Caenorhabditis elegans: one gene and its partners. The protein of the gene in region 1 interacts with the protein of each later gene in a pairwise test. Each region holds a gene or a part of one and is shown on either strand. Other genes may lie near its edges. The genes, in order: sdz-12, ceh-18, ztf-15 and rnf-1.

The links.
Region 2: the proteins of sdz-12 (region 1) and ceh-18 interact in a two-hybrid assay, tested with the Caenorhabditis elegans proteins (one large-scale study listed by BioGRID).
Region 3: the proteins of sdz-12 (region 1) and ztf-15 interact in a two-hybrid assay, tested with the Caenorhabditis elegans proteins (one large-scale study listed by BioGRID).
Region 4: the proteins of sdz-12 (region 1) and rnf-1 interact in a two-hybrid assay, tested with the Caenorhabditis elegans proteins (one large-scale study listed by BioGRID).

What each region holds. Positions count from the first base shown.
Region 1 is NC_003280.10:3,729,287-3,734,076, forward strand, and holds sdz-12 (Zinc finger protein sdz-12), read right to left. Parts: upstream 2,538-4,790; 5' UTR 2,263-2,537; coding exon 2,146-2,262; intron 2,023-2,145; coding exon 1,966-2,022; intron 1,902-1,965; coding exon 1,761-1,901; intron 1,705-1,760; coding exon 1,486-1,704; intron 1,443-1,485; coding exon 1,263-1,442; intron 1,196-1,262; coding exon 1,097-1,195; intron 1,046-1,096; coding exon 866-1,045; downstream 1-865. Other genes in the region: bath-31 (BTB domain-containing protein), read left to right, coding at 2,740-2,852, 2,898-3,433, 3,478-3,629, 3,672-3,791. UniProt on the Caenorhabditis elegans protein: Together with ehn-3, may play a role in gonadogenesis.
Region 2 is NC_003284.9:3,854,505-3,860,165, forward strand, and holds the start of ceh-18 (Homeobox protein ceh-18), read right to left. Parts: upstream 3,294-5,661; 5' UTR 3,240-3,293; coding exon 3,194-3,239; intron 1,863-3,193; exon of another isoform or gene 1,862-1,862; coding exon 1,716-1,861; intron 1-1,715. UniProt on the Caenorhabditis elegans protein: Directs gonadal sheath cell differentiation and function. Also directs gonad migration and plays a role in specifying the differentiated phenotypes of epidermal cells during postembryonic development.
Region 3 is NC_003279.8:7,253,378-7,259,725, reverse strand, and holds ztf-15 (C2H2-type domain-containing protein), read right to left. Parts: upstream 4,216-6,348; 5' UTR 4,200-4,215; coding exon 4,176-4,199; intron 4,132-4,175; coding exon 4,018-4,131; intron 3,973-4,017; coding exon 3,883-3,972; intron 3,835-3,882; coding exon 3,748-3,834; intron 3,706-3,747; coding exon 3,490-3,705; intron 3,306-3,489; coding exon 2,832-3,305; intron 2,693-2,831; coding exon 2,300-2,692; intron 1,999-2,299; coding exon 1,504-1,998; intron 1,452-1,503; coding exon 1,308-1,451; intron 1,258-1,307; coding exon 1,105-1,257; 3' UTR 1,027-1,104; downstream 1-1,026. Other genes in the region: myo-1 (Myosin-1), read left to right, coding at 122-262; Mitotic checkpoint serine/threonine-protein kinase bub-1, read right to left, coding at 4,595-5,084, 5,129-5,898, 5,944-6,131, 6,176-6,348.
Region 4 is NC_003279.8:6,009,038-6,014,364, forward strand, and holds rnf-1 (RING-type domain-containing protein), read right to left. Parts: upstream 2,550-5,327; 5' UTR 2,434-2,549; coding exon 2,427-2,433; intron 2,375-2,426; coding exon 2,301-2,374; intron 2,253-2,300; coding exon 2,078-2,252; intron 2,032-2,077; coding exon 1,840-2,031; intron 1,790-1,839; coding exon 1,647-1,789; intron 1,603-1,646; coding exon 1,486-1,602; intron 1,439-1,485; coding exon 1,355-1,438; intron 1,307-1,354; coding exon 1,220-1,306; intron 1,174-1,219; coding exon 1,072-1,173; intron 1,003-1,071; coding exon 838-1,002; 3' UTR 745-837; downstream 1-744. Other genes in the region: C06A5.8 (RING-type domain-containing protein), read right to left, coding at 79-253, 304-383, 433-481; ints-1 (Integrator complex subunit 1 RPB2-binding domain-containing protein), read left to right, coding at 3,021-3,216, 3,271-3,533, 3,592-3,956, 4,182-4,848, 5,110-5,327.

The DNA of each region.
Region 1 (4,790 bases):
TTGAACACTGGCGAACGGAGCTTTACACTTCTTGCACCTGGCCTATGTGGCGACAGAAAAGATGTTCGAGAAGTATCTTTTGCGAACTGAACTTCATCTCGCACTGACCAATAGGACACGTGAGATAGTTGGTCTGCATAGGAGCTGGAGAAGCGGCAGTTTCAGTTTCCAGATGACTTTTCATATGACTGACCAGGCTTCTTTGGTAATTGTATTTCGATCCGCAGAATTCGCAGGTGTACCTCTGAAATAGATAAGTTAGATAGAGTTAGATAGAGATAGATAGATTATGATGCCAAACGCTATCTATTAAGCACTAACGTCTTCGTAAGAAGACAGCCCAAGTCCACATTTGGTGTTCCGTATGTGATTGCTCAGAGATTTCTGAGAATGTAATTACTTGAACTGTTGCACCTTGCGCAATTCCTGAAAAAAAATGGATCCTTTATTAATTAATTTGTGAAAATTTTACAGTACCTGAGAATAAACTGGCACAAGAGCTTGAGCTTCAGGCAGGTCCATTGATAAGAGAGTAGAGGTGAAGGAATAAATGAACCCGCGCAGAGTGTTTTGGTGGGGCGCAATTATCGATTTGGCGCGCGGTATTGGCAGAGAGCAAATGGGAAGGAGAGTGAAGAAGATGTAGATAGAAAAAGAAACTATGCGTAGTTTGATCTACCAGTCCTGTATTCTGAAGACCAACTAATTGTTTGATTACTCCATAAAATCAGTGATCACGATAGAATAGGGTACTGTAGGTTACCGTAGTTATCAACAATTATCAGTTTCCTTCAAGGGCGAGAACGAGATTCATTGAGTACTTTTAACAAGAAAAAATATTAATTAAGCAGTAGAATCTTATCAATTAAGTTCCTATGCCACCAAAATCATGACTCGCAGTGATGATGTGCATGGTGAACACGATCTTATTTCCACATTCTGCTCCACAAATTGCACATTTGAATGGGCTTCCTGGCGCGTGAAGGGCGTTATGCATGATGCTCATTGTGGCATCGTGGAACTTGATCGTGCAGTGCTTGCATTCCTGAAGAGCTTTTGAGTTGATGAAAGTGTACTTTGAAACTTAAGAACTTACAAAGCTTGGGGTTGGCTCACTGGTAATTAGATTTCTAAACCTTGGCTCATTGGGGCTTAGAGTTGGTGAGAGCTGTTGATCAGTGTTTGGAAGAGTTGCCTGAAAATTTCAAGTCTAATGGTTTCAAAGAACGGCACCAAAACCAATATTGAAAATGAAAACATACCGAGTTCTGTTCACAGAATTCTTCGATCATCGGGGAAGTTCCTAGATTTATGCTCAATTTTTGAGGCGGCTTCTCTTGTGGCGAGATTGCCAACTGAGCTCTGGGACTTCCTGAAGTTGATACGGTGATAGGTGACAGTCTGGCGGAGCTTGTGGGAGCAGGAGCCGAAGAGCGCAGAGCCTGAAAGGATTGTTAAGTCTTAAAGAATTATAAAGCTTTTCACCTCTTTATGATCAAAATGGTAGTGTACCAGGAGATGCCTAGGACTCCCGAATAACTTGTGGCATTTTCCACACGGAGCCGATTCGCTGTATGAAAAGTGGTGATGGTTTACGAGATGATTTTCAACGCCCTCATAGAATACGAACTGCATTGAACAGTTCAACACGGGACAGTCGAAATGTGATCTTTCCTTGAGATGGTTGTGCAGGTGCCTTTGAAGCTGAAAATTACAAATTGCTGGAATTGAACAGGAAAAATGGAATAAAATCTGCTTGCCTGATCTTCCCTGAAGAATGTTCTCTGGCAAGTGCTGCACTTCTTGGATTTTGAACCAGAGTGAGTTATTTGATGACGCTTCAAGTTTGGCTTGTTGGTGAATTGTTTCTCACAATTTTCACATCTGAATTTGTGATTGACCTGAAAAAACGTATAGTTGGAGGAGGAGAAGCTCAGTGGCTTAAACATTTTCTCAAAAACTCACCACATTGGAACGTCCAGGCCTACACGTAATGTGCTTCATGTGCGTTCTCAGCGTTTTCTGAAAAATGGTAGTGAGCTCTATATACTAACTAGCAAAAAAAGGAAGATTATCTGCTGTACAGTAAATTTTGTAAAATTAAGATAAATTAACAACACTTTTTTGCTCACTTCAAAAACTAACCTGATTCGCGAACTTTCTTTTGCAAACTTGACACTGGGGCACCTTAGCAGAATCCTGATCCAAAGTGGAAGAGGTTGCAATAAGCGACAATACGGCGTCTAGTGATGACAAACTCATTTTCACAGAAGAAATCTCTGCGGATTGTCCGAGGGCAGGGAGGAAGGGGAGTGAGAAATGTTTTTGCGTAGTTGCAAAAAGAGGTACATAAGTTCAAAGACTGTGTCCTCGAAAGCTGTGAGAAGTTGCGTCACATATGACGTTGGGGCTTTTGGAGAAGCGGGGCCGACGAATTTATGAAATGTGTGTAATTGCACATTGTAGAGCTGATTGAGTTTTTCAGTATCTCAGTTTTTTCAGTAATTTCTCCATTGACGATGCACCTTCTTTGGGGGGAATATTGTAATCTTTAACAAAATTCACAACATTTTTGGAAGACCAGCTGCCAACTGTGCCAAATTTGCCGGGAAACGAGACGCTGCATTATGCATTATTTTATCGATCCACTAAGATTATCTCCTAGCGTTATTCACTCATAATCTGCCTCTACAAGTCTTCCTATTCGTCATTTTTCTGCAATTTAGTAGGTTAGTAGACATGCTCGTTATAACAAAGGAATTTGTGTCAACTTACACTATTAAAGCAATCTCCAACTTCAAGCCGGATACCACTTATTGCAGCGAGGTTAAAGAATATTACTATATTCCATGGTATTTTTAACTTTCCTTTTTTTATTTAAATTTTTATATTTCCAGGAAACTCCATGTCAATCGAAGAACTGATCAACTTGAGGTGTATCTTAGTTGCGACCAACTTGGCACAATTTGGTCAGTTCAGGCGAATGTTGAAGTGAAGCTTAGATCTCCCAATGAATCTCCCCACTGCAAAACAGCCACTGTAAATTTCAATAGTGAGAAGCCGAAGGAAAACTCATGGGGATGGAAGCAGTTTGCCGATTGGGAGAAAGTCGCAAAAAACTTTGTGATTGAAGATGCGCTACACTTTAAAGTTCATGTTCAAATATTGAACGCTTCTGGGTTCAAGGGAAGAGATCCGGTTTTGAAGTTCGACAATGAGTCTATGGGAGAGCTGTCCGATGTGGTTTTGGTAGTGGATGAGCAGAGATTTCATGTTCTGAGAAAGCATCTCGCTCTGCAGTGCTCCTACTTCAAATCCTTGTTCTTTGGCAGTTTCGGCGAGTCGAAGAAATCAGAGGTTACCCTCTCTGGGATAGACCCGGAAGCCTTCCAGGCATTTTTGGAAGTTCTCTATTTGGAGGACTCGATTGATGGTTAGTTTTTAGTGCTCACATTGGTAATAATTTAAAAATTTCAGACAATACCGTCGAAGGAATCCTTCAACTTGCTGACATGTACGATTCTAGAGCGGTTATTGGGAAATGCGAGAAATTTCTTTACAAGGAGTCCGAGAAGTCCGGGAAAAAGAAATTGGAATTGGCAATTAGATACAAGTTGGAGAAACTAGAGGTAAGTGCGTGCACCTGAATATAACCTTATTTTATCTTCCAGATTCACTGCTGCAACACCATCAAAACCATCCAAGATGTCCGCTCAATTATCGCTGGAAACATTGATGAAATGAGCCCATTCCTGATGAAGCGGGTCTTGAAGCGAGTTCTTGAAGTTTAAAAATTGTTCGTTTTCAAATATGAATTGCATTTTTCTAATAACTGATTTTTGGCCACTATTTTTTCTCTGTTTTCAATTGTAAAGTTTTATTTGCCAGTACAAAAAATAAATTTACGTTTTCTTTATATTATATTGATGAGAAAATTTGAAGACTTACAGAAGAAATTCAAATCATGAACCAGACCAAACCAGAAAAAGTCAAGTCAAGAATTCAAGAAACTTTTATCTAGCATTTCATAAAGTATTTTGATAAGACATATACATAGTTATATTTTGTGGAGTTTAAAAATATAGTTTTGAAAAGTGAAGTTCAAAAACATAGAAAAATAAGAAGTTAGAGGTTTCGAAAATAAGCTTAATTCGAAAGACTCGAAAAAAATCTCAAAAACTGGAAAAAATTGAAGATTTCAATCGTCGGACGGTGTTTGACAGTAACTCGTCGTCGTCGTCGTAAATAGAAGTAGTGTTGATTAGAAAAAACGATGGAATAAAGAAATCAGAACCTCCAAATAGAAAAAGTTCCATGAATGTTTTTAATTCGATAGGCACGCATGCCATGAACATCAGATTCCTCGGCTGAATTAGGCATTAGTAGCTCTGGGCTAGAGTGGGGATAATCATTGTAAATGTAGAAAATGAAAAGTTCAAGGTCTGGATTCAAAGCCTTTAACCCAGAGCTTGATCAATAATTTCAAATTGGAATTGGATAACGGGGTAGCATGGAGTGAAATCACTGGATTGTTCATCAATAGTAGGTCGTTAAGAGTCACAGAGAAGAAGATCGCAAGGTTAGAAACGTTGTGAAATGTTGTCCAATCATTTTTCGATTCAGACTTTCCGCCAACTATACTGATTTTTTCCACACATGGCAGGTATTTAGCCAGATTATTGTTCCCAGTGAACTCCCTATTCAAGACCTTTTCAACTTTCAATCCATCGAGATTTGTCTGAGAAAACTGAGATCTCGAGTTTCTGCAGACAGACGTCACAAAATATCGA
Region 2 (5,661 bases), on another chromosome or scaffold:
GAAACGAAAAACTAAGGGGAATAGAAATGGAACGATGTGAAAAACAAGCAAATCTGGAAGTGCTCGTCGAAAACTCGAGTCATTCAGTGGGGTCGTTTCTCTCATACCCATACACACGCGAAGCACGGACCGCCGGCGTTTTCGTTCCGTAAAGGAAGATCTCATCTTTTTGTCGTCGTCGTCGTCGACTCCATTTTCAGGACCAAAACGACGATGCTCATTACTTATTCAATTACTCAGCGACCGACGGGTCATGATACTTATTGAAAAATGCTGCAGCATGATTGGGTCAGCCAACCTACTTTCTTTATTTCCAGAGGTCTCTAATTTTGAAAAAAAATTGAGGATGCTCAAAAATGTTCAGAGCTGCTGTAGTTTGATACAATTTCAATGTGAATATAGAAGTTATGAAAATTAATTACAAAAGTAAAGGAAAAAAGAACTGAAAATACATTCAAAAATTTTGTTTTTTAATTAAAAAAAAATGATAAAATGACCTGACTGAACCTTAATCCAAAATTAAAATACTACGAAACAAAAAATTTTTACAGCGTGGGAAAAGTTGGAAAACGTGAGAAGAAAAGGCTTGAAATTTAACAAATTTTAGTAATTAGAAAATACACTTTTGTGCTAAAAAGGTATGTATAAAAAGTGAAGCAGTTTATATACAGTGGCAGTCGCTGAAAATAGTTAGCGACCGTCATCTCAATACTGTTTTTTCCAAATATCTTTTCGGTCAAAAATGATAAGGAATATCTAGTTGAATCAATTTCTAAAGTTATTTTTACGATATTTTTTTAGTTATTTCTTTATGAAACGGTCATGAAAATAGACATTAAAAGTTCTAATAAATAAAATTTAGAACATTTATTCAAAAATGTTAATCTTACTGTTTCGAGCCCTTTCTTAAAATTAACTATGCAGAATTTCTAGATACAGAAGAGTAAAATAAAATAATATGTACACATTAACAATAACAGTAAAAATCTATGTTAAAAAATAAATTAAAAAAATACTTTTTAAATAAGACGATGGTTTAAATTTTTATCCATATTTGAAAATGTAATTTTTGAGACAGGCAACAAACTGGTTCGTTTGGAATTTTGCACTAAAAACTAAAAATTGTTTTTTCCCTAATAAGATGATTAAAGATAAAAAATAGGATCATGCCCAGAACAGTAAATTAACAGTTTAAATTAAAATTTTTATCTTGACGAATCACTAAATTTCCCAAGATTTCGCCTAAAAAAAGGACCAATATGAAAAGTTGAAAACACAGAACGACGCGGCTCGGCTTTCTCCTCTGCCTACTTTTAGTTTTGTCCTACATCATAAACAAGGGCCAACTCCCGAATCTGCTTATCTCGATACCCGCATCTCTTTTCCTTTTTAGCCACCCCTTTATTGCATTATCCCACACTTTCATTGCACTGCTTCATCTTGAGAAAGCAAATGGATGCGATGGGCTGGGATGGCCGAGTTGAATTGGAAAGGTCTGATTTTGGGTCCGATGAGAGTGGAAAAACATTACTGACTAATTTAGATGTGTGGTATTTTATAACTATTTTCATAGCTTTTTTAATCATTTTAGTATATATAAAGTTTTATGAAACAGCTTAAATTTTTTTTTTCACTGATTGCAAATAAAAACGTATTTGAGAAAAAAGGTAACTTTAAAAGCCAATTGGAAAGCAGTTTGTTTTCAAAAGACTCACCTCTTCTTCCTCTTCTTCGACCACTTCTTCTTCTGGGATTACTTCGTCTTCAGTGATGATCCTCTTCACCGGTCGACTTTTTCGTTTGCTGGCTCCCGACAAAGATGGACTGACACGTTCTGTGACAAGGCAACCACCATTGGCTTCTGAAAAATGTGCACAAGAAATATGGAGCAGCATCTAGTCAGAAAAGTTCCTTTTTTGAGCAATCAGAACATGTTATCTCATTTTCACGATGCCAATCAAATTCGCGCAGAAGTTTTTTTTTTCGAAAGCTAACATCAACGACGCTGAACTTGAGTTAATCTGTGTAAGTAGTGGAACGCGAAAATAAGGACACACGGAACGGTGATCAATAGATCAAGTTTTGATAGTACTTTCACTACTGTGATTTTTCAATGAAATGATAAACTTTTAATTGATAATTTGGAGTTACTTATTTTGTGTACATTGTTCTACAAATCAACTTACAGTATTTAATAACTGATCAACGTTTCAGTGAATGTAATTGTCAAATAACTCATTCTAACAATTTTTATAATACTCTAAGATGGCCGAATATCAAAATAGAACACTCCATAATTATTTTGGTGAAAATTCAAGAAAAACATTTGAGCATTGCTACACTTACATACATGTTTTCAAAATGTTAGGTCAAAACTAAATTTTAACCACTCTTTGACTGTAAAAAAATTGAAAATTCTTTCAAAATGTTTACTGTAAAATTTTTAGCGCTATGAAACCGCTTTTTAAGTGTAAATGAGTTTTGGAAAATGTTTACCGTCAAACTTTAAATTTTTACAATTTTTTTGAAAAGCTGGTAGCGTAACATTGGAAATTAATTTTTGTCTGAAGTGATTTCATATCGAGTATCCAAAATTTATTTTAATGTTTTGCAAGTATTATAATTTTTTGAATTTCTGACAATTTTCTATACAGAAAAATGCATTCAAAAATTCAAAAAAACTTTTGACCCTTATTTTCTCAAAAGTTATTTCTGGAGTTGTTAAAACTAAAGTTGATAATTTTGAGTTTGCTACTCCAAAAAATATTTAATTATTTTATACATACCATTTCGATTTTAGTATACACATGAATTAGTTTCTTAATGTACATATATTTCATTTTCAGGCTCAAAAAACAAGAAAAAACCCAACAAAACTGTTTTGCTCAAAAGTGCAAAAAGTTTCACTTTTTCATCAAAAAACCCATACAATTTTTGAAAAACGCCTAATTTTTTTTTTTTTTTACACAAGTGAATTTGGATTTTAAAACTGCAAAAAAAGAGCATCTGACCAACATTTTTAAAAAATTGTTGCGTCCAGGTAGACAATCATCGCCTATAACATACCGTTGTCATTAGCTTTTCACGAAAATCAGTCAAAATGAATTATTACAGCAACGCGCTTGATTTGTGACCAGACTCCGAAGAGTCGACAATTAGAAAAAGAAACGGATATTGATAAAGCATCACCTACCGAATACTTCTGCGAGAAATTGAAACGTGTTCTCCAAGGTGTTCATATTTCTTGCATTGATGATATGTGTTGTGAGGATGATGATAGAGACTTTTTACGTCTGAAACAGAGACACTGTTGGATAAGACCGACAGAGAATGTGGTTTTGATAGATGAAAATTAAAAATAAATCGAAACTGTATAAGCTGGAAGGTGAATGAAGGTATGACGAATCAGAAAAGATTGACTGAGAAAAGAGAATCGAGATAAACAAAATGTAATATTCCGTCAATTGAGAAAAGAAAATGAAGAATGTGTTTCATGTGAGCAAATCGGCGGCATGGATCAAGCGAAACGCGTGGGGGCCACTCATTGCCGACGAGGGTGATCGCATCGGCGATTCAGGAAAATGAGCCACCCTAGAAGTTGTAATATTGGCATAAAATCAACCACTCTCGGGGTGGGGAGGAAAAGCCGAGCGGCACCTAACTAGCTGACAGCCAAGCGTTCTAGTGCGACTTGTGTCTCAGTATTTTTCAGCCAATTGTCGCATGCGCCTAATGATTCGATCTGATTTTTCTGCGGCTACTGCTGCATCGCGTTCAGCTCTTCTTGTTATGATAGCTCTCGACGAAAAATGTGGGAGAGGAAGAGAAAAATAAAAGAAATGAAGTGAATTTCGCATAGGACACTTTGTTTAAAACAATTTTCGAGTCCCTGTTTTTCGCATCACTTTTCTTCTATTATCTAAGTTATTCTAATATCTAGGAACGAAACTAGGGTAAAATCTATCGCGTCCTAATTTGAAATTTAAACTTCGATGTTGCCGAACTGTATGAGATCATAAAGAAAATTTGACTGATAAGCTTTGAATAACACATTAGAGTATTAAAAAACGCCAAATTTGCATATGATAAGAAGAGAAATTGGTTCTGTAGCTCCGAGAGTGCCTATGTTTGTCACTTACACATCATTTTCTGAAAGTATTTGCATTCTCACTGTTGAGAAAATTTCTAGTTGAAGCTGAAAAAACAGTTAGCTCTGTAAAAATGGAGAATGTGAAATATTCAAAAAAGATTCTTCGAAATACATCTTGGAGATAAGATGATATGATATCTTGTGTATGAGGCTCACTCTTCCCGGCCATTACACTACACATTCATTACCTAGTCTTTTGAGCACCACTTGGCTCATGAATTCGAGTCTTCACAAAATTACGTAGGATGACAGACAACACAACTGCTAACAAAAAAGACGACGCCCCGCCGGCTTGTTCGGCAGTCAGGCACCGAGGCATTTTTGATTATCAAAAGATTTTTGATGGATTTTATTGAGTGATTGATTGTGGGGGGATAAAATGTTGATTCGGGAGGTGTTGTTCTGTTTGGCAAGAAAGAGACAAAGAATTGGGAAGGAAAAAGGGATAAGACGGAGAATAGGTAGTAGTATGAATGAAACATGGAGAAACAGATGCGATATCGAGAGGTCATCAGCTTAACGAAATGAGCATTGACACATGAGCCCTAAAGTTGAGGCAATTCGAAACGTGATGTACTTCTCTTGATTATCTATTATCTTTTCCTACAAAGTCCCCATTCCTTCAAAAGCTCCATTATCTTTTTTTGTTTTCAGCTGTACTGTAAAACGAGGAAATGTGGATGATCGCACTGGTCGGATTCATGTTTAGCCAGTAAAAGGCAAAAAGGCATTGCGGCGGCCAGATCTGTGGGCAAAACCGCGCAGTTGTTCAAATATGCATATTAGATGGCGTCGATTTGAAACGACGGTGCTTCTAGCGCTGCTCCTGCCCTGCTGACACTCTGGATATACGACATTTGCCTATGCAAGCGAAAGAATGCCGTTTGGCCGGCTCCCCCCAAAAAGCCAAATGGCTCTATGAATAATCACAATGAAGTCGTGGTGGACATGTATGTAGTCGTTGCATGGTCCCAAGGAAAAATGAATAAAAAAGTTGGTGAATGGCGGAGAAAAATGAAGGGGCGCGTGGAAAGCGTGGGGGGGGGCATGACTAAATGGACTCTCATTTGACTATTCACCGTGCTAACAATGTGCGGCCAAAAGTAAAAGTTGACATTTCGAGATTGAGTTGGCAAAGAGCGAGTTGCGTTGAAAATGAGCATTTAAAAGGGAAAAAACTGTACATTTCTATCGTACACTCGTGTTGATGTGAAATGTAATTTTCACATTCACAGTTCTCTTCATCACAACATTAAACTTTTAATATAATTCAACTGGTGAGGTTTGAAATATCATTCGATTTATTTGAGAATTGATTGAATTTAAAATAGCTATCAAAATTTGTATAAAATTAGAAATTATTTAAAACAGTTTTTGAAATTTTTGGAAGTTTTGAAGCAGATGGATTTGCAAGAATTGAGATTTTTTAATACAATAAAAATTAGGACAATCTTAAAAAGAGTATATGATTTGATGAATAGTATGAAATACAAATTTTCCGAAGCCTGGCT
Region 3 (6,348 bases), on another chromosome or scaffold:
AAGTTATGTTTCACGTTTTCATGAATTTGCAATACCAAATATGATTCCACAAAGTTGGAGTCGTGAAATGTTGTTTTTTTTTTCAAATTTATTTACAAAAACTAAAAGTTTGAATTTTCAGGAAGAGGTCGCCACCCAGAATCTGTCCAAATTCCGACAGATCCAACTCGCTCTCGAGAATGCCGAAGAGCGTGCCGAGGTTGCCGAGAACTCATTGGTTCGCATGCGCGGTCAAGTTGTTCGTTCGGCTACCAACAAGTAAATTTGCCCCCTGAATAAATTTCCATGGTCCCCACACACAAAACTTCACTTCCCCATTGACCTTCAAAACCTCTCGTCGATTTTCTTCCTCCTGTCCATCATCTTTTTCAGCAGTGCTGCACACACAAATAATTTCTCATAGTTTTGTATTTTCCCCCACATATCTTGTTTATAATCAAGTTTTTCTCAGTTTCCTTTTTCCTAATTGTTAAAGTTTCAGTCTCAATCATATTCTCTCACTCTCTGTTTGAACGATTCGCGCGCCGAGTCTCCGTTGATCTTTAAATTCTGTTGATTTCTCCCGACGCTCCACACGTCTGAAATTGATATAATCTGAAAGTCTCGTTGACATCATAATTCTTTCGATTCTAGCGATCGACCCTCCACATTATCAATCAGTAAACTGCCTTCCAAAAGCCCCAGGCTCTAGAAAATCAAATCAATTCAAAAAACGCAAACGGTGTGTCTGTCATCATCATCATCAACTCTTCTTTTTCAAGAATAAAGTTGTAATTAAGACTCTCTTATGTAAATACAATCTCTTTCTTTCTTTCTTCTTTTCTATTTACTCTGCACAAATGATGATAAGACACCAGGATCTGGCAGGATACTTCACTCAAGTAGTACGGTTTCGCGCTGTGGTTTTTTCCAGGAACTCCCTTTGCTTGGTAAGAATCACAAAACGTTTTCTTCTTGTGGAATGTTGAAGAACGAATAATAGTAAACATGGAGTTTAATTGAAGAAGGTTTAAATCTAGAAGACAGAACGTTCAAAATTTTATTGTCTGAAAAGTAAAGAATAAAGCACAAGGGAGCAGTACATAACATCGTATTAAGAATTATCTACTTTCTCGAGAAATGCGGTTGAATAGGAATGAAAATTTCACTTTCTTCTACGACGAATATTTGTACATTGTCCATGTAATCGTAATTGATGTCTTCTTCCGAATATCTTCTCGTAGTTGTTTCATTTGTAGATCTATTGTTCCTGCAATGCTGGTCATGTTGTAGCATATGTGATATAAATTCATTACATATAAACTTACCATCATATTATGATCATGGAGAGCACGATAGTTTGGAAGGGTTTCAGAACAGTTGTTGCATTGAAACATTTCTTTTCCGTGAGATTCGTGTCGATGTGAGCACAACGCTTGCAGGTTATGAAAGGAGGCGTGGCAATCTCGGCACTGAAATTATAAATTCTCAAACGTTATTTTTTAATTAGGAAAATTAACAAACCGTCCATTTCTCTGGAGTATTCGAATCTAGACGAACACGGGATGTGATTTTTCTCTGCAACGCGGCTCCATTTGTATCGCTCCTGTGATGTTGTCGTAAAGAAGAACTTCCCGGTTGTTGAATATTATCAAATACGTTGCCGTATTGACACGTCTTGCGATGTTCAGACAGAACATTCAAATTTGCAAAAGTTGCTCTGCAGTCAGGGCACTTGAGAACTGATATATTTTGAATATTGAAAAGTCTCTTATCTCGGATCTTGTATGGCTTGAAGCATTCGTGACGGTCAAGAGTGGTTCGATCGATACAGTTTCGGCCACATTGTTGGCAACGGAAGATTGAGTATTCCATACTCATATGACGACGAATCGAACTTAGTGTATTGAACTTTTTCGTGCACACACCACATGTTAGCATTGCAGTCAATCCATGAATTTGCTTCCGATGATGAAGAAGACTTGCAACACCGACACAGAACTTTCCACAGATGGAACACTGAAAACTTATAATGTAAGAACAACATATTTAGAGCTTCAATTTTGTAAAACATAATGATACCTTTGTCAATTTTCAATTTTTCAATTTTTCAATAGAAATCAATTTTTGCCGCAATATTGCAGATACAGCTACAGTAATCCTATTACGTATTCCCTTTTAATACAATCTTATCATATGAATCATTCACTTCAAAATGTTAAATTTACATTCTTTGGTGATAATTTAGATTTTAAGACATGATTACTGAAAGAAGTATGTTAACCAAACAAAAAGATTTAAAAGAAATGAAGTAATCTACCGGAATATTGACCAAATTCCCAGTCGAAGAAGATGAGGATGAAATGGTAGCATCAGCATCTTCGTCATCGTCATTGTCGTCTTCTCTTTCAGGTTCTATACCAAATAAATTGACATCTGGAACCACGCTGATCTCTCCTTCACGTGGTCGTCTGTCCCGCAACGAGTTGACATCCAAATGTACATCAGAAAGAGCTGGAGTAATGTCTGGACAATGCTTCTTGTGATAATCAAACCAATATTCATTTTGATATTTTTTATGACAGTTTGGACAGCTTATGGTTTGATCTAAAAGCGCAGGAGGAAGTGCAGTAGATGAATTACACTTTTCCATGTGGCGTTCGAACCAAAAACTCGAATTGTATCTTCGGTAGCAAACATTGCACTTGAATTCCTGCAAAACAATGTTTATGTCCCATCTCTGACTGAAATTTATTTTTTTTTTGTAAAACAAGAAAAAATAATCTGTTAAATTAGTTTATATTTTCAATTAGTGAAGTTCTCGCAAAAACGTTTCACTAAACATTCTCCACCTGAATTTCGTCCGTTGTTTCCAAGCATTTGGTTCTATGTTTGAGCAACCAATGATAGTGTTGATATTTCTTTCCACATAATACACAAGCGAATTGGAAACGGTCTTCTTTTGATTTTTCATGATTCTCATTAGACAAAACAACGCCACCAAATTCTTCATCTTGAATCTCTTCTTTTATTACTTTTATTTCTTCCGCATTTACACGTCCCGTTCTTCTTCGTTTTTTATCGTCGATTGTTTCATTTTCCTTACATCGATGCTTTTCCAAGTGCCATTTGCTGGCAAACGATGTATTGCAACCGTCACAATGATATACTTTGTATTCTTGACTTAGATGCAAATAGATATGTGTTCGCTTCGAAAACTCTTTTCCACAGAGACCACACATCATCATATCTTTCAGTGAATGTTCTTGATGACGATGATCAAGAAGACAGCGAATGGTTGAAAATTTGGATCCACATATTGAGCACTGAAATTGAAGAATAAAATCATGTTCAGAATGTTATGCTTTAGATTTTGAGAAATTTGATGGTTGGTACACACTTTTAAGTTGTAATAAATAAATCTATAATAGTGATATGGTATAATAGTGATAATAGTGAAGGTTTTTGTTCATTTACAGAGAATGAGATATAGAACTAAAATGAACTAACCGAGCAATTAACAATTGGATCTCCTCCTCTTTTTGTCCAATATTTGGCAGAGGGTTTCGATGTCAAATTACTACGCGACTGCCGGTTTCCTCGTGGGGTCCGTCTTTCTTCGATACTTTCATCGGTTTCATCGCTACTGTCTGACTGATTTAATAGTGTATCAGCACCTTCACAACCATAGTTGTTCAACACGTTTATGTATTGGACGCTGTTGTCCTGAAAATGTTCATTAGAAAATGAATTACAGTTGGTTTTTACACTATGGAAGCGATTATTCCACGAAAATGAGCCATCAGCTTGGTTGTACTGAACTCCGGACGGATTTTCGAATATTGAAAGATATTGCTGGAATTCGAAAATTATACAGCATTTTTACCAAATTTATATTTCAACCTCATCTTGCATTTCATGCTTTGGATCTCTGATTTCAACTTTATTCAATTCCTCTGTGACTTGTGAAGATGTGGATGGCACGTTTTTAGTCTACAACTCTAACTTTATGTTGAGGTTTCAATGAAGATTAAATACCAAAGATGGTCGAAGTGAAGCTTCGTCGAAAATTGCTTTGATATGACGAAGCAATTTTTCATCAGGCATGTCATGATAAAAACTGCCAATTTCATTTTCGACATTTGGTAAAAGCTGAAACTTTTTGCAAAATAAGTTGATTAAACACTAGCGCTCACCACAGTCTGATCTGATTCTTCCATTTTTACAAGAGGATGGCTGGAAAATATTTTAATTGTAATTTTTTCTAAATTCTTTTTTAAATATCACATTTTATGCAAAACGCGAAGAAAACAGTTGATGAAACAAAACGAATGTGCAACTATTTAGATCTAACTGTGATCTATTGCAATACTTCCCTTTAAAGGCGCATCAAATTTCTACCGTGATGGGTCTCGCCGCGCCCAATCTCGAATATCACGTTCAAATTTGGAAAGCTTTCAAAAACTGAAAACTTCGTTTAATTCAATTTGTTTTACCAGAAATAAATTAGATGCACAATTATTAAAGCTCCGAACGAGTTTATTCACATGATATCAATACAAAAGACAATAAAAGAGAGCAATAAGAGCACGAAATACAAATTCATTGTGTTGGGCTACTTTTGGTTGGCGGCAAGATCACAGGCCTCATTGAACTTGGAAACCGCCTGTCGCCATCCCGATGCTTCAAACTTTTCATTCCAGATTTCCGAGAAAGACTTGATCAGGATATTCCAGTCCGGAAGTGAATCACACGAAGGGATGTTGAGGAATCTGTTAATGACATCGTAGCAAGCATCGCGAAGAATGTTGCGCCTCTTGATGTCGACATTTAACGAATAGTCTCCAACGCTAGCTCCAGTCAACTGTGCATACTTTCCTGCAACAACGACAGCCATTGTTGCGGCGAATCCGAAGTAATCGGCTTGGTAAGTCCAAGAACGACCGTCAACCATTTCCGGGCAATCAAACGCTTCTGTTCCTGCTCTTCCCTTGAAACGCTGGTTCTTCAGTGGCATCATGTCAATGGCACGTCCCCAGTCGATAATCTTGATGACAAAGCTGTCGTTACTCATCAGAGCATCTTTGCCCCATTTATCATCGATCCTGAAAAAAGATAACGTCTAAAATTAACAAATGTTTTCCCATACTTTCTGGTGATCATAAAATTATCCGGTTTGATATCTCCATGAATAATTTTAGAGGCATGGACTTCCTTCACAACTCGGGCCATTTGGGTAATCAAGAAGCAGGTTATGTGCCAATTCGGATCCTTCATGTTATTCGCATATTCAAGCAGCGTTCCATATTCGTGGTACTGATTAACAAGAAGCGAAGCAGTTGAATAAACATAAGCATCCATCACTTCCATAATGCAACATTTGGCCATCAGCTCCAAACCTCGATCTTTCAGGCGATTCCGCATTTGGTCGCAAATGTACACTTCCCACGAACATGATGGCACCTCGTACTTCACAGCTACTGTCCTTTGATCATCGGTTACAGCCCGGTATACTTTAGCGTATCCACCTTGACCAATAAGAGTTTGAATGTGGAGCTTTTCTCCGCTAACCTCGCAGTCTCTCAGAGCTTGAATCTTCGGTGCTCGTTCTTGGAACTCGTGCATATTCTGGGGAGGACGCACAAGACACATCAATTTTTTTCGAAGAGTTTCGTCCCATGGATTGATGTCTCCTTGCTTGATAATTTCACTGCGCCGACGAATCTTGCAACCAGTGATTTCAGATTCGTTGTTTTCAGTGAGATTTGGAATTTCATCAGCACCAATTGAAAGACGTCTTCCTAGATTAGCTGTCAAACAATCGATAGATGAATCTTTAGGATCTGATCGTTCAGGCTTTGATGACTCTGTGACTGAGGGCTGAACGGCTTGATTTGCTGCTAGTGACTTTCGACGTGTCTGAAAAAGTTTGAATAGTATGTCGAAAATTTGTCTGGCACTTACTAATTTACTGAAAGTACTGCTGGTTGGAGCAACAAATACTGGAGCTTCCTGTTCGTGAGTGCTTTCCTCCTCTTTATTTCCGAAATATTCATCAATGTTGACCAAATGAACTCCTTGTGCGGGGGTCGATGTGACGAAATTACCACGAGACGGTTTGAAAAAGCCAAACTCGATTTCATCGTCATAAACTAAAAATTAAAACATAAGTTGTTATATTTTTCGATAAACCCACTATCATTAAACATTGTAGCTGGTGAGGTTTGCGTCACTGGAGAAACTAGGACAATTTCGGGTTGTACTTCAGATTCCTCAACTTTCTGAGATTCTTCCGGTTCGGCTGCCTCATCGTAAACAACATTCAACCCATTCGACACTTTTTTCGGACGCTCCTGTGTAATGGTCATT
Region 4 (5,327 bases), on another chromosome or scaffold:
ACAAGCAAGGATACATTGCATAATATTTATAAAATTGCGATAAATGAATTGAAACCGATTTTTCATTCCCTGACTCACCCATAATCGCAAAATTGGTCGAAACAGCCGCGATATCACATTTAGTCTCCGCGCGACACGACGGGCACTCCAAATACGCCGAATTTCCGTATTTTTGCATTGTTTTGATACATTCCGTGCAGAACGTATGTCCGCAATGCAAACCACGAGCCAGCTTTGTCGTCTCATTGTAATTCTAAATTGGAAAGTTTAATTTTTGAACAATAAAACAAGTGGGGCACTCACAGTGCAGCAGACTTGGCATTTGAGAAACTCCTCGAGAAAATCACCTATCAGCGGGAATGCAGGCGACGCAGCCGAACTATCTGGAATTTTCGAATTTTGGAACCAGATCTTATAAAAACGAAAAATTACCTGTTACAGATGCCACATCCGCAGGCATTTCACTTTTTGTTGCGGACATTTATGGCTGAAAATGCTAAATTAAGTAGGTGATTTTTGGGAAAGAAAGGAGAAAAAAATTCAAAACTTCTTCCAAAACTTTCTACAGTAATCTTAAAGGCACATGAACAACCATGTTTGAATTATGATTTCGCGGCGAGACCTTTCCAAATAAATGTGGTTCCCTTGAAAGTCCTGAATTTTTGAATGAGAAAAAAAAACACTTTTGAAGAGAAACAAAAGCGAAAATAAAATAAAGGAAATCGCACAGATTTTTCAGGGGAAAACAAGAAGAGATCTTTATTTTCTCTATTAAAACATGTAAAACAATACAAAAATTTCAGGCGGAGACGGGATAAAATTGAATTATATAGTAATTTATTCTTCATTCAGAAGAGCAGAGAGCAGAAGAAATCTGTGAAGAACTCTGCCGGCTTCTTCTATGTGCGAATTCGGAAAGTCTTCAGTGGAAACTGAGCTGAGTGAAGATTCATTGTCGGAGAATTCTTTTTCGTCGTCGGAAAAGTCGAGGTTCCCGTTTTCCTGGAATTTTTTTCTTAATTTCAGCTGTTTTAGTTTAAAAAATAGCCGTCTGACAATAAATTTACATACATCTCCAAAAAGGCAGCGAAAACTTTTGTACGTCTCCTCTTCATCTGTTTCAGGCATAACCAATGTGGGATAGTAGTCATCGGAACATTCGGAGATATTATCCTGAATTAGAAAAAAGATTAACAATCGAATTCAAAGTCCTACTAACGTCATCGGAAAACGGACAAAAATGATCATTCTCATGATTCCCAAAACTGCCGGAAGTTGTGGAAACCTGCGAAATGCTGTCGTTGTCCTGCAAACATTTTTTCTAAAATATAAACTTGTCGACAGTGACACTTACATTTCCAAAAAGTCCTCGAAAACGTCGGTAGGCGGCCGCCTCCTCAATACCTGAAACCACACCTGGATCATCTAGTTCGTTTTCCTGAAAGATTTTTTCTATTCTAAATGTTTAACTCGATGAAAACTAACGTCTCCAAAAAGACGACGAAAATTGCGATAGAAACCGCCACCCAGTGTTCTGTCCGGGACAGTAGTATTTGATTCTAGAAAATCTGTTGAGTCTTCTGTAGTCTCAGAATCGCTGTCCTGAAAATTTTCAAATCAAGGGAGCATGGAAAATATCAACTAACTCTTGCTGCCAAGAACCTTAGCATAGTTCGAACTCGCTGATCCTCAGAATTCGCATCAGAATTGTCGTCAGAATCGTAATAACATTCAGAAACAGCCCCTGCCAAGGCTTCAGCCATGTTGCTGACCTCTCGCTCGGCTTCTGCTGAAAAAATTCAGTTTTTATAGAAAATACTTATACACATTTGGCTTTGCCTAGACTCCATAGCTGTGATTTGATGCGGAAAACGTCAAAATGGTGAATGAGACTGCTTTTTACTTCAACAAGCAGCTCGCGGAATTTATTATCAATCATTTCATCTCTATTCGTTTTATTTGAGCAGCAACTAGAGGAAGTTCGCGGAGCGTCAACTGGAGGACCCAGAAGCCCGAAATTCCTTGCCAATTCTGAGAAAAAACGTGGATTTCAATACTCAAAAGAGGTAAAACTTACCCATAATTGAAAAATTTGGTGCTACATTTTCGATGTTGCTTTTAGTTTCCGCACGGCAAGTAGGGCACTCTAAATGTGGGGAATTACCGTAGTTTTGCACGTTTCTGATGCATTCTGTGCAGAAAGTGTGGCCACAGTGCAAGGACCGAGCCAATTTTGTGGTTTCATTAAAAGGCTGCAAACATATTTTGTAGAAAATTGAGTAAAACTAGGAAATTAGTACCTGATAGCAGACTTGGCACTGGCAGTACCCAGCCAAGACTGTTGATAGAATTTCTGGATTTTCGGTATTTTTTTCTGAAATGAAATTTAATAAATTTTAATACAAACTCGAGATTGTCAATCTTACCGCTCATTTTCACGGAGATAAATACCTAGAAATTCTGAAACAAAAAGAAAGCTGGAATTTGCCTGGACACAAGCCTGGAAAACAAAAACAAATTTGGGGAGTCTAGCGGAGCGCGTTTACTGTAATTATTTTTGTCTTTTCAAAGTTTTTCATAAAACTAAACTGAATTGTCATTCCTTTTTTGTTTTTAAAATATAAATCAGTTTATTATAAAAAAATTACATTATTAATAATATTAATAATTATATATTGCGACACAAATTTTTCTCAAATTTAAAATTATTTCAGAAGTCAAGACGAAAAAACAAAGCTATTCATTATTCGAAACAATTTTTATTCGATTTTATGATAATATATATATTATTAAATTCCAAAAAGACTGTAAAATGTAAAACTCTCTCTAGCGTAGCATGTGACTTGTCGATTCCCATAAAAAAATAACCATTTAAACATCCGCGCAAAGAAATTCGCATTGGAGCGCACCTGCCTCACTCGTGCTTGTTTCGTTTTTTTATTCTCATTCAATTTCACAACCGTTTTTATCATTATTTTCCGGAAAATCTTAAGAGTTTCTCGTTTAGAATCTTATAAATAATGGAACGTAAAAAACACAAACGCCTAAATGATACGATTATGAAGCCGGAGGACATGAAAAAGGCGAAACTGAACCATAAACTCCCGACGACTAGTGGAGGCACTGGCGGACCGTCAACTTCTGGAGGAGTTAAAGCGAAGTTGGATTTTAGATCAAAAACTTGTATTCCACCAAAGCCAACGCTAAGTAATTCCGGTAAAAATTTTCAATTTTTCCCAGAAAACACCTAATAATTAAACAAATTTCCAGCAAATCCATCCCTACAATCCAGCCATCTCGTTCGCCCCAATCTCGATGATCAATGGAAAGATTTTGGAGATACAATCAATTTAAACATCGAAACCTTCCAGAAAAGCGTACAGGAGGCGATTTTAGCGGGCCATTTTACAAAAATCGCTAAAATGTTCGTCGCCGCGCTCAAGAGCTTCTTTGTCGGAGAAAAGTTGAAAGTGGAGCTCAGAATAATGGGAACAATTGCGGAAACCGTAAAAAATCATGGGGATAAGCTAAATGTTGGTTCAAATCTAACAAAAACTTGGAGAATAATTCTAATCATTGAAAAATTTTCAGCAAATTCCTCTCCACCGCGCTCTGCTCTTCGTAATTTGCAATTCTCGATCATATCCTGACAATATTCTCGAACTATTCATCTCAATAATCACTTCACTTGCAAGGCAACAACCAATTCTTGATAAATGTTATCTAACAGCATTTCTCCATGATTCTATTGGAATGAGCGTTGGACTCGGCACAATGAATCGATGCTCCTGGATTGAAAAAGAGTGCTCGGCAGAGCTTGTGAAAATGATTTTGGATCCGTTTGAAACTGTCTATCCATTTCCGGCAATGTATGCGCAGTGCCAGGTTGAGAATTTTGCCATTTCCGAATTTTTGAGCTTCTTCTCTGAAAAAGTGGGGAAGTCGAGGGAAAAAAGGTAATAAATTTACGATTTTTTAGAAAAAATTTCGCTTATATTTTTCCTAATTTAAACAGAAACAAAAAGCAGCATCTACAAACAACGGTGTAATACTAGCTGAAAAGCATTTAAAGTTTATCAAAATCTCAGAAGAAATTTTTATTCTGTGTTAGAAAAGTGGAAATAAAAAAAACAGTTTAAAGAATAAGTCAAATTTTAATTTTAATACATTTTTGATTTCAGTCCCCGCTCGAATCTTCACCAAAAGCAGTTAGACGTCTTTCTGGAATTCCTGAAGCCCTGGTTCGACACAATTCGCGGTGAAGTTCTTCCAAAACCTCTTTTCCGTGCTCTCTGCCTTCTCTGTGGCTACGAGCACATTCGTCTTTTCATTGCGAACCGTCTGGAAATTTGGATAACTCTTCAGAAATTCCATCGAGAAATCAGTGAGCTTTTGCTAGTGATCGGGTCGAATATTAACGCGGAAAACCACGAGTTGGACAAGGAAATCATCGATATTCTACTGAAATTGAACACGAAAAATATGAAAACACGAACTGTGGTTGGACCATTCACTCAAGCGATTAAAACGATTTGTGAGGTGTCAAGGAATGTCGAAATTGTATTGGATTCACTTTTTATTAATGAAACTGGACCAGCACAAAATAGATCTCCCACCAATCTACAAACAATTTATATGATCCTTCAAAATCAACCAACAGAAGCCACAAAAGCTCTAGCAGTAATAATATCGAAGGAATTGTTTAAAGAAAAGGAAAATTGCGTGAAAATGCTCAGAGCTTTCATGCGAGAGCTCATTCGTGGATTTTATCACTCAAAATCCGGAGATTTCCCATTTTCAGTGTTTGCGGAGACATTATTCAATAAAGTTCAGCGGCGAGGAGAACCGGTAAATTTAGATTTTAATCCAGGAACCTTGAAATAAATAATAAAGAAAATTTCAACCGACATGTCATTTTTCGAAATTTCCCCCCAAAAGCTACAAAAATGTTGTCTATTTTTTCTGCATTTCAGCAGTTTTCGCTAAATTTGATGCTTCGAATTTGGTAAAAACTGCTGTAATTCAGAAGAAAAACATGACATAGTTTTCACAATGTTCCATTTGAAATTGGTTCGAGCGTTATTTAAAAAACCGAAAATCTAATTTCAGGACGAAATCCTCAGCTACGCAGTGGATCTAATTGCTCAACTCCCGCTTGCAACAATATCTTCACTGCTCACAACTCGTGAAAATGCATTTTCCATTAAATTCAGTGTTCCGACAGGCACTGGAGATGTTCCTCTAATACCCGTAGAAGCACGATTGGCTCGTCAGAAATTTGAATGTGAATTCATTTCATATTGCGAGAAAGTGATTGAACAATTATT